Linked DNA regions of Drosophila melanogaster. The protein of the gene in region 1 interacts with the protein of each later gene in a pairwise test. Each region holds a gene or a part of one and is shown on either strand. Other genes may lie near its edges.

The links.
Region 2: the proteins of Eh (region 1) and CG31600 interact in a two-hybrid assay, tested with the Drosophila melanogaster proteins (one large-scale study listed by BioGRID).
Region 3: the proteins of Eh (region 1) and CG14100 interact in a two-hybrid assay, tested with the Drosophila melanogaster proteins (one large-scale study listed by BioGRID).

What each region holds. Positions count from the first base shown.
Region 1 is NT_033777.3:17,446,142-17,450,902, reverse strand, and holds Eh (eclosion hormone), read left to right. Parts: upstream 1-2,044; 5' UTR 2,045-2,136; intron 2,137-3,372; 5' UTR 3,373-3,443; coding exon 3,444-3,552; intron 3,553-3,628; coding exon 3,629-3,657; intron 3,658-3,858; coding exon 3,859-4,014; 3' UTR 4,015-4,261; downstream 4,262-4,761. UniProt on the Drosophila melanogaster protein: Neuropeptide that triggers the performance of ecdysis behaviors at the end of a molt. It triggers adult behavior patterns: larval, pupal and adult ecdysis, and plasticization during the molt.
Region 2 is NT_033779.5:21,913,659-21,917,030, forward strand, and holds CG31600 (uncharacterized protein), read right to left. Parts: upstream 1,701-3,372; 5' UTR 1,645-1,700; coding exon 1,600-1,644; intron 1,541-1,599; coding exon 1,358-1,540; intron 1,309-1,357; coding exon 1,144-1,308; intron 1,091-1,143; coding exon 782-1,090; 3' UTR 611-781; downstream 1-610. Other genes in the region: CG11634 (uncharacterized protein), read left to right, coding at 2,747-3,372.
Region 3 is NT_037436.4:19,588,563-19,592,404, forward strand, and holds CG14100 (uncharacterized protein), read right to left. Parts: upstream 1,963-3,842; 5' UTR 1,917-1,962; coding exon 841-1,916; intron 781-840; coding exon 633-780; 3' UTR 510-632; downstream 1-509. Other genes in the region: CG9330 (uncharacterized protein), read left to right, coding at 1-51, 118-209, 269-421; ash1 (absent, small, or homeotic discs 1), read right to left, coding at 2,740-2,919, 2,990-3,196, 3,256-3,842.

The DNA.
Region 1 (4,761 bases):
CATGCGGCACTGAGGACTGAACAGATTGAGCGAGCATAACGAGCTACACAGCTTCATTACTTACAATAGAAATCTATAACTTTAAATGAAGTTATTTTATATTTAAGAAACAGAGATAACAGTAATACAGCTGTAAGCTCTTTTCATATAATATTGTTTTAGCGAAATGCACCAGATCCATCATTGCCATTATTTCCAGTCCCACTGTAGGTATATATTTAAATAAAGTTTTTTGTTCGACCTGGCAAAGTTTGCAGCTACAAAATAGGCTTCATTGCTCTTTTGTCATGCCCGGCAGAAGCTGGCAACATATATAGTCGTATATCTTGGAGCTAAAATCAGTGGCACAATGAGCATATTGTGTGGCTAAAAAATTTAATGCTTACGTGCCTGAAATATCTACCGAGGCACAAAGGATGCGATTGCAATGTATGAAAGGGATATGTGAGGCGCATCGACTCTTCGGGCAGAGTTCATAAATAAAGCGTCCGAAAATCTCGACTTTTGGCTTGGTTTAAAATAAAAGTTTCTTGCCGTCGCCGGAAAAAGAGTGGAGAAATTGCTTTCGAAAATGCAGCGCTATAAAGAAAATCGTTTACTGATTTACTTGCTCTGCTGTTATGTGGGAAAGGGGGCAACTGGGGAGGGGAAATGCTGCAACTAATAAAAGTTTTTGCTCTTCGACGGCGCGTTCGGTGGTGTGCCACGCCCACCAACACACTCTCGCTTCCTGGCCATCGGTTGAAATGTTTGCTGTTGTGGCTTTTCAGCAATTTCAACGTACGTCCAGTGGGGCACAACACAAAAAGAAGAGTTCAATCCGCCCTGCACTTTAATAATGAGATTTATATTGAACCAAATTGATTGCCTCCAAGGGAGTCAATAAATGGACCAATAAACATCTCATTGATCAGGTTCTCCTCGAGCCAACAATTTTAGTGTCATCATAAAACTAGTGAATTGGGGAGAGGATGCGTGGAGCGACTGAAACACTCCCATTATCTTTCAAGTTCAAAACGTTAAATCGAGATGTACATATTTCGCAAGGGGATAAACATTAAAAAACAGTAACATTCCTCTCTAGCTTTGGAAATATATGTAGCACAAAAAAAACTAAATTTTAGACTCAAATAATCTATTTAAAATTTATAATTTTTAAAGAATACATTATTTGCTTCACTCTTCTCAGCTGCGTTATATTTTAATCTAGATTTGCGATTTGACATTTTCAGCATGTGTGGCCACCTGCTGATGGCTTACGGAGAACACATTTTACACATTTATCTACATCTATATTAAAGACGACACCTAGCGGTAAAATGAAAGACGAACTGCTTGAGGTCGATATGCACTGCTTTCAAGTAACGGTCTGAAAAAATATTTTGATTTCTGTTAAAACGTATGTACATACATGTAAATAGGATTTGTTTTTATAAATTAATAAAAATAAAATAAAAAAACTTAACTCAATTTATAATTACGCCATATGTTAAATTATTTTAGTGCTTATACATCTATGCTCATTGTAATTAAGTTCTATGCTTCCTACGTCTTTAAAATAAATATTTGATATAACCCAAAAGCATAAACAAAAAAAAAATAGCCACTTACATACACAGTTCGGTTTTCCACCCATTCGTGATTTCCTGATTTATTGACTATGCTAGTTAAAGCTTATTTATTAGTTTTTTGCTAATACTTGCAACTGAGAAATAAATCTAACCCAACAAGGCGTACTGTTGGAAAAACTACTCCTTTCGGCAGTATCATTTCCTGTTTTGGGCTACAACCTGCTGACCAGGCCGAAACCAGAGCTCAAAGAAACGCAATTAAACTGGCTAAGTAACATCGAGTACTCAGAACACCGCTGTGAAAAGCACTCAAGAAAGCCAGCCAGCCAGCCAGCCAGCGGAAGTGACATTTTGCCATTTTGCACATATTCAATTAGGTGGACTTGCTGGCGAGATAAATTGATTAATTTGCCTGTGCAAATCAAACAATCGCACGAGATCCAGCGTATAAATACAACAAGAACTCTGCATTCTAGAACCAGTTTCCAGCAAACAAACGTGTTGCCAAGTACTTGGCGAGTTATCCAAAAAGCCCACACCTTTGCTGCCAAACAATCAACTACCGGTAAGTTTTGAGTACCGTTCCTACGTCACTGGACCGAAAAATCTTAAGCCTGTCTCGAAAGTGTCACGCCCACAAATCGCTGCTTATGTGACGTATACGCCGCATGGTCTTTACACATTACTCATACGTTGGCGCGTGTTGCCAATTAGTTAGGAAACATACAATTTGTGGCGCATAAAATTAACATAACTACAGAATTTCCCACGATTTGGTTGACTTTTTTGTTTGTTCATTTTTCATATTTTAATTTGTGAGATTCGCTGGAATATATTTATATCGAAACCAGTTGGCAGCGTGTCCGGTTGGAGGCAGGACAAAAGAATTCTTATTTTATTTACATTTTACTGGGGCGAAACGTATTGTTGCGGCGGCATCTGGTCTTGGATCCGTTCTACGCTTTACATTTTAACCATATTTTTACTGCATTTACAGCGCCATTAATTAATGGGCTCGCCAGTCGCATACGATTTGCATTCATTACGATTTCAGTTCGATTCGGCTGTGTCCGTTCGCTTGACACTTCCTGATACTATAGCAGTTTTTCAAAAAGAGCTTTTCGCCGTTGCTACTTTCTTTCCCAAGTCCGGTGAATTTTTAAATGTGCTCTTGAAAATCGGGGAAATTTTTGTAAAGTAATGTTTCTTGGGGATTTGCCATTATGGGTTGGGTGCTTTACAGACTAATTTTGAAATCATCAATTTCTTCGATAACCACTCTTTTCAAAAAAAAAACTAAAAAAAAAATTGGTAATTAAAGCAAAAAAGTTTTTTGTCGTGTATAAGTCCACATTGGATATTCCATTTATTATATTAAATAAATTCCTACAACTCATTTATTCATCCCGCCCATTTAAAAGTGTCATAAAATCTGTTCAGATAATTATGCAAATTAAACAAACTCTTTTCTAAGGAGAACACATTTCAAATGTGTGTAAGTTTGCGTATCGCCCGCTACTTTGCATACGCTTACAAAATAAAATGGGTATTTGATTGGGCTCGAATCGATTTCGATTGGCTCGAAGACCTGACGTATTTTAGCGCCACTGGGGCTGGCTTGTCGTGTCGACTTGTCTCGCATCTGCGACCGGCTTCAATAGTTGCTTTTTTTTTATTTTTTTGCTGCCGTATCGGGCTTCTTTACTCTGTTAAGCTTTCGCATCTGCGTTTGGGCCGAGAGCATATGTATATAAAATAAGAAGACAAACGAGCGATAATAATTATTTCCAATCTGCTCTAGACAGACAACGGTCGCAAGCTAGTCAGCTCCCCAAACACATCCGTTGGAATCAAAGTACCAATATCACCATCATGAACTGCAAGCCCTTGATTTTGTGCACCTTTGTGGCAGTTGCAATGTGCCTGGTGCATTTTGGAAATGCATTGCCCGCCATAAGTCATTATACGCACAAGAGATTTGGTAAGCTATATAAATTTCCCTACTTTCTGTATGCTCTTGTACTAAACTACTATTTCTGCTTAATGTTTTCTTGCAGACTCCATGGGTGGCATTGATTTTGTTCAGGTGGGTTAGAAATTTAAGTTTTAGTGATTTTAATATAAATAAATATTTAACTTAAATCATATTGGGTCATTATTAAAATGATGTGAAAATGTACTTTCCATATGCATTCATTTGATCCTGAGATTTAAATATTAATATCCTTAAAAGTTCCACAAATTATATTAACAAAATTGTTTTACATATTTTTAATTTTTTATCCAGGTGTGCCTTAACAACTGCGTCCAGTGCAAGACCATGCTGGGAGATTACTTCCAGGGGCAGACCTGTGCCCTTTCCTGCCTCAAGTTCAAGGGCAAAGCCATCCCGGACTGCGAGGATATAGCCTCCATAGCCCCGTTTCTGAATGCGCTCGAGTGAAGCGATAAGAGGCGCCTCTTGTGCGATGTGCGGTGTGTGTGGCGGTGTGTGCTTTTATGGCCTGTGACTCAGGTGTGGATTTGGGTCAATGTGATGCTCAACACGATGCTCAAGTCTTGGCGATCTTGGCTGCTGATATCGACCACAACGATGATGAAATGACTTTTGCTAAACAACTGACTTTCTAGCGTGAAACCAAAGAGTTCCTATTAACTTGTAATTGTGTAGTAAATAAACAAATATTAAGAAAAATACATGTGTTGTGTTGTAACCAAAGTTGTTTTTGAGCATGAAATGGGTGTTAGTTAAATCTTTTAATGGATTGATGGAATTTTTATATCTTAATGTATTACTTACCATTATCGCCTAAGAAAAATTAAACATATATTGATTTTAAATTTTATTTAAAAAATACTTGCATATACAAAAACTTACATCGAGATATATTTTTAAAATTATTTATGTTTTCTTTTTTTTGATTGCTTCGATATGCTTTAACTTAAAGGCTCTATTTCTGCTATTTAATATTAATATATACAGAATGTATGGTTCATGCACGGAAATGCTGGAAAGAGCTCTGAAGAAATGGCAGTGTCATAACTACTGACTCGCTATAGAAATGCGGATGGTGAGCAAAGACTAGTTGAGGGACTAAGCAGTAAGAAGTGAAAAGATTTTGAACTATAGAAGACAGACGGTACAGGATATGGAGTCAAACAAAATGAATCGAGATTGTAAAACAAATCG
Region 2 (3,372 bases), on another chromosome or scaffold:
TCGGTATATCCGAGCATTATCTCTTGTTTTTAAAATATCTCTTTAGCGGGGTATTAAATAATAAAGAAAATTCAATTTGTTTTAAATTAATAGAAAGCACTGTTCATACATCTACCTTAGGTCACGCCTTCGTTCATGCATTTTCCACAATTGATTTCCTGATATTATCTATATACATTTTTAAACCAAAAAAGACAATAAATTATAATTTGGAAAAGCAAACCGGTACATTTTCAGACCAATAATAACGGTATGGAATTGTCAAAAATGTGTACGTTTTGCTTAATGTGAATTGTTTTTCCATTCCGAAAGTTTATTTTGCCTTCTAATACTCACTTCCGTTTCCGCTGCACAAGACCAAAGTGTGTTTCCGCTACCCTATTACCACTCCATTCGCCATTTGAAACTTTTTTCGTACTCATCGAACGAATTATAACAAAACCAATTTTCCATGACAAAAAGACAACAGGAAAAAACCAAATTACAAATCAGACAATTAAATACTCATACTCAATACTCGCAAAATGTTTGACATTTATTAATTAAAAATAGGATAAACTGTATATTAATTTTATTCAAATTGTCATCGGCAATAAAAGACAGCTTATTTCAATTTATTTCTTTGTTCCATTTCGATTTGTCATCTACATATTGTATGCAATACAGTGGCATAGATTAAAACAATACAAACATTACAAGAAACTGCATTTAGTACTCAAGAATGGTTACATGGTAGTGTATAGAGTAGTAGTATTTGGTTAGGGTTAATAAGGCTAATGTTTCAAAATGTGTTTTTAACTAAATCTATTAGTACCGCAAGCCCGTGTGTAATAACTCTTTTATGTTTCCTTTCGCCGATCAAAGAAATACATTTCTTCAAAAGCGTTGCAGCAAGAATAAGTAAAATTACCAGTTCCACAAAAATAGCCAATCTGAGCTGCAAATGACTTATATGTTGTATCGGCATAAAAATGTTTTTAACAAAGTCACTGCAACCTTGGGTGATAAGGTCGGGATGGTAGCAGTGGGTTGGAACCCCTTGTAGATAATCCATATAAGAACGGGGACCCTCCAGTCCACAGCATAAAACCTGTGAAAAGCAAAACCCTTGAAAGGGCAAATGAGCAAAGGCATAACACATACCGCATTTTCAATCGAAGGCCAATCTGTCTCGTTAAAATTGGAGTATGCCAGCCATTTAAGGTTTAAGCTATCCATGAATGTACTATAGCTCCTGTTCATGGCTTCTAGTTGTTTTGAAATTGTGAAGTAAGTCCAATGAAGGACGAGTATCTGCAGCGGTATAAGCTAATTTACAATTATCAACCTCACGTTTTTTTTTTGGTAAAGTCCTTACCCCGAGAACAAGCCAATCATCACGCAAATTGGCTAAGTATAGGCTGACCAAATTCAGGCAAATGGTAATGGAAACGGTACTTGTTAGAAAATTAAAACAGTTAAGCACATTAATGGTTATTTCAGCGCTTTTAAGTCGCAGAGTAAAGGGTATAATTACTCGAAATAACACAGCCAATACAAGCTAAGTGTAGAAAAGTTGTCAGTAAAAACTTGAAGACGGGCTGCTGATTAAATACTTACCCCAAATAAAATAGCAGTTAGCTTTTTTATCATGCCCTCTACCATTTTGAGAATTATTTTAATATACGTAGCTCAATTTTATTCTACGCAAATTGACAAAATATTCGAAGCTGGAAATAATGGCCTACCACATAAATTCAAATTTTTGTTTTCCCAATTATGTATGTATACGAAATCACGCAGGTTTTTCTATTTGTGTTTCAATTCCTTTTTTCTGGCAAAATTTCATTGTTGATTTATGGGATTTGCTATTTTTGACAGTTGTTTTTGCTACAACGAATGAGAGTGTGTGCGATAACTGTTTGTAGGTATAAACATGATTTTATAATCGGCTTTCTATATTAATTTTAATTTTATTTTCGGCATTTTATTATAATTACTCTTGATATATGTAAATGGTCATCGTTAGCAAAATTATCATTCCGTATATGGCTGTATTGTTGCTGCACTTGATGTCCACATGGATGTCCCTCAACTCGTTAGGAAATTTACTACGCACTTTTTGTTGTGGGTTTTCAGTTCGCCAATGGGCCATGCGAAAAAATATTTCTGTGGCTTTAAATATTTTAATTGTCGCTGTTGGCTCTGTTCTGTTATTTCATAATCGTATGCTCTTTGTTGTAAGTCAAAAAGGGTGTAGTTCGAAATGCACAATAAAAATTGTAATATTTTGGCAAAATATTTATAATTATTAATGCTAATTTCAACAAATCCAATGCATTTCTGGCATTCTATTTGGACGATGGCTAAATACTTTGGTGTTTTGTATCTGTTTGTGATATTTTAATTTTACTGTCGCATTTGATCATAAATTAAGCGATTAACAAATAAGGGGCACCGTGGGTTATGGGTGCTCTTTTGAATTCCCTCGATGTGGCAATGGATGGAAGGGGCCAGTAAAACTATATTGCTTTTGATAAATGCCGATGGTTAGGACTCAGAGTGCGCCGCATTGAGCGGTTTAGTACTTAGTACTCAAGTGATATTAGAATTCCTGGTAGATTAAAAAAAATAACAAAATAATTGAAATATGAAAATGTGTCAGAAATGTTTCATTTAATCATATCCAATCGCGTTTGCCATTCAAATAAATCTCAAAATATATAAAAACAAATTTTTTACATTACAGTGAAGTTTTTGATAAGCCATGTTCGATACAACTAAATACTTTCCGCGTTCAGTTGATTCCGAGCATCCGTCCCAGTCGGAGCACAATGAGTCCTTGTCACTGGATCATGTCGTCACCTACGATATGGTCCATAACCCGGAGGGAAGATCACCTGATCACAGTGTCATCGAAATGACATCGGAAGCTGACCGGCATATAGGACACGATGTCACTTCATCTCCCCAATTGATGATTATATTTGAAGAAGGCGACATCAACAGTGCACTGCACTTTATTATTGAGTCGGTTCATAATCCCTTTGCCTCGAATGCGGTGGCCATGGTTCTGGTTGAAGAGAAAATTCGCGGGGAGATCGTCGAGCGAATCCTGTCTAAGCTACATCCTCTTAGTAAGTTTGTGGCCGAACATCCTAGCTATCTGGCAGCACTGGAGAAATGCCACACCTCCAACTTTAACATAATAAGGGCCTGCATTTCGGAGGTTGCCCCACCAATGGCTTCACCCATTTTTGTGTGTGACTGTACGCACGATAAGCTGGGAAGTTACCCAACTGGAGTAGTAACATTTCACACATTCCGCAATAACCAGGAGGCCATTGCCATAAGTCAGTGCGAATCGTTGGCCTTCGCATCCGTCTCCATTTG
Region 3 (3,842 bases), on another chromosome or scaffold:
GTTTATCTGGAGGACAAAAATCACGAGTGGCCTTAGCAAAGATGTGCATGGGTAAGATAGTGACTATCCATCTTCTTTCAATAACATTAACATCAACATAATATATTTATTTTATAGCGGAGCCAAATTTCCTGGTGCTCGATGAGCCGACTAATCACTTGGACATTGAAACCATTGATGCTTTGGGCCGAGCCATAAATGCCTTTAAGGTAAAGTGGACTTTAGTGGAAATTTACACCATGAAATACATGTGTACTGTCTTTCTTAGGGCGGCGTAATCCTGGTTTCCCACGACGAACGCCTCATTAAGGTCGTCTGCAAGGAACTCTGGGTGTGTGGCAATCGCACAGTCAGAGCGATCGAAGGTGGTCTGGACGAGTATAAGCGCGAGGTTTACAAGGAAATCGAAGCTAATAGTTGAATTAAATGTAATTATTAATTACTATATTTGTGAAACAGCCTAGCAATAAATTTATATTATGCCTGACACAAGATGAAAATTGTATTTTCGAAAGGATCATAACAAATATACTCAAGTTTATTGATGGGATTTAACTGCGATTTATACACTTTGTCATAGAAATTAACAATTAAAGAAAATACATTTAATTATATCGGTTGCTATTCCAAACTTATTCTTTTTCTGATGCCTGATGAATGAGTTTTCGGCGCAGTTCAAAAAGCAACAGCGTCAGAGCAGATGCCACATTCAAGCTATCGATGCCAGCTGCCAGCGGGATGTAGATGCACTTTCCCTTACCTCCAACCAAGTTTAAGAAACTGACAATATAAAAACATAATTAGCATTCCATTTTATAACTTATTCGTTTCCCCCCTTACCGGTAAGCTTCCTCACTGACTCCGTGACTCTCTCCGCCAATAATGAGCAAGTTATGGGCTCCAAGACCCTTGATATCTGCATAGTCAATGGTCTGGTTGTTCTCCCGCTTCCTTTGGTTGGTCTCGGCAATGAAAACATGACAGTCGTCGGCCGCCTCTGGCGGAATGGTTAGCGCGAGCTCATCCCAAGTTACATCATCCCGAATTGGAACTCTAAACTGACCGCCACAGCCTCCTCTCAGGGCCTTCGATTCCCAGGGATCACAGCAGCCGTGGGTGACCACCACCTGACTGCAGGGCAGCGCGGCGCAGGTCCTTATAATGCTGCCCAGATTGTTGGGCTCCCTGATGTTGTCGCACACAACTGTAATGGGAAAGGGCTGAGAGCCCAGACGCTGTTGCTCCGCCAGGTTTTTCTCCAAGCCTTTGTCCGACGGCCTGTCGAAGATAGCCATCAGACCGGGAGGAGTTACCAGCGATGACCACGTCTTTAGGTCGTGCTGCGGCACTTTGTAAATCTTGGTACCCGTCTCCACCTGTGCCACGCCTACTTCCTCCTTGACCAGAGCCAACTGATCTTTCTGGGAGAAGAGGAGTACTTCCATTTTGAGACCACATTGCAGGGCTTCCTGGATGAGACGACGGCCTTCGACGATGATCTGCCGGTTCTTATCACGGCGCTTGCGGGAGCGCACTGTGGTTAGTAGGGTGCTGGTAAGTGGATCCTGCAGAGTGAGACGCACAAACTCCAGATTCAGCTCATTGTCCTTAATTACTGGAGCGGGAGTTGGAGCCACTCGTGGTGCAGGATTAGATGGAGCTGAGAGGTTGCGAGATGCAACTGAGGCAAATGGCACCTTTGGTTTTCTACCGGCAAATCGATTCTTGCGTAAAGCTTCCCTCGTGTTCATCGGCTCATGCCTTAAATCTGAATTCCCGAATAGATTGGCCTCTATGTCCAGTGCGTCCTGGATCTCTCCTCGGGGACCACTGGAACTGCTCAACCGCAGCACATTTAAGTTATTCACATTCCTTATATTCGCTTGAAGCGAGCGTTTAAATATATTACACAGCATGGCCGATTCAATTCAATCCAATTCAACTTCACTGAACATCTGTTTGCATAGTCATGGGCGTAAGCAAACACATTTAAGGGGGGATTATTATTTTAATCCCAAAAAAAAATGCAGAAAAACTCTAAGCAAATGAATTTTTGCGATACAAGAACAAAGTGATTCATAATCTTAAATTCGAAGTCCCCCGAATCAGAAACTTCACTACGCCCATGCAAGCAGTGTTGAATAACGCGACAGTTAGGCAATCCAACACTTGTGTTAAACAGGCGGTTCATTTAAAATTCGGCTTTGATTAATAAAAATATATTTTTTATTTCACTTTTAAAATTTTTGTTAGCAGTTAATAACAATTGGAAAATAACTAAAAACTAATAGCGCAATAAGTTGTCCTACTCGGGTGTTACATAATTAAGCAGCCATAACATAATACAATAATTTAAAATAACAATGCAAAAGTCAAACGCCTTCAATTGCAAAGACGAGAGGGGGATAGTTTTGTAAAACAAAATTAATATGGAGAGCCAATATAAACAATTAAAAACAAAAGAAATTCATCTAAATTGGGGGCTTGGTGCGGTGGCGTAAGCACTAGTATTTAAATAAATCCTTATATTAACCATAATTCATAATCTGTTCCATCCTAGCCGGGACCGGAGTCCTTTCACGAAGTTTGTTCATAACAATGTACACTTTAGGATTACTACTATCACCGTTACATCTTACATGGCTAAATGCTAATTGTTAATTGAAGTTCCATAAATATTAATCAATGCCTCTAACTTTAGGCGTATATACACGGCTTAATCTACTCGCGTTACATCGGTTATGTTGAGTTGGCCGTAGAACTGCTACTGGACTGCTGGGTCTTCCGCTGCCGGGCGCCGCGTCCGGACAGCAGGTATGACAAGTCAATGGGTTGCTCCTGTGCCGTTTGTGCATCCAGACACTTAAGCTTCATAGTTATCAAAACGTTCTCTAAACGCGATTTCCTCTTCTTAAGCATCTTTAGGGAGATTGAAAACAAAGTTAATTGTAATAGATTGATTTCAAAACTTGTTCAAAACTCTGCACACCTGTTTATTGGGCGCCACGGGTGTTACGACATGGACAGCAGTTGCATCCGCTGGGGCACTGATCCCACGAGGCTTTCGCCCAACCATCTTGGCCTGATGCTGTTCCTGCCTGCCAGACACCTTGTGCATCGTTGTTGGCCCGGCTCCTACGTCTAATTCAGTCTTTTGCTTCCTTGTCTTCAGCAACGACGGATCCACATCATGGGGCTACACATTAATGCTCATTAGTTAACTGGCGTTATTATTATTTAAAATATTAAACTTACCGCATAGCTCTTGGAGATCTTAATCTTCTCGGGAAATTTTCTGAAGGCATAGCTCTTGGTGCAGGCTGGATGGTTGGCCTTGGCCTTTGAGAAGAACCTTGCCGTCTTGTCCACACGCAGCTCGCAGATGTAGCAATGATCCTCATCGTTGCATTCCATGGGGCGTCCTTTACAGAAAGTTGTTCGATCCAACACCCAGCAGCGTCCAATGACCAACTCAATGGGTACCACCTCATAAAGTGAAACTCGTACCACCTCATTGGGGTAGAAACGACGCGATGGTTCGTGGAAAGTTTCATGAGGACGCAGGAAATGGTGTCCGAATATAAAACGCTTTCCCAGTTCGTTTTTCCACAAGTGCTCCACCCGAAAGATATCGCACTCTTGGTAATCAATGGCTCCGATCGTTTCATAGGTGTGCTTCTTCGTCGGTAACACCTTGCCGGACTCATCCTTGATGGGGATGTCTCGTAGGACATAGACGGCATCGCCCTGTCGTACCTGCAGATCACCACGCATTAGGGAGAGATAGTAACGGTGTCCCTCTTCGGTAAATTCCTCCAGGGGAATTTCTCGATCCACTTCCC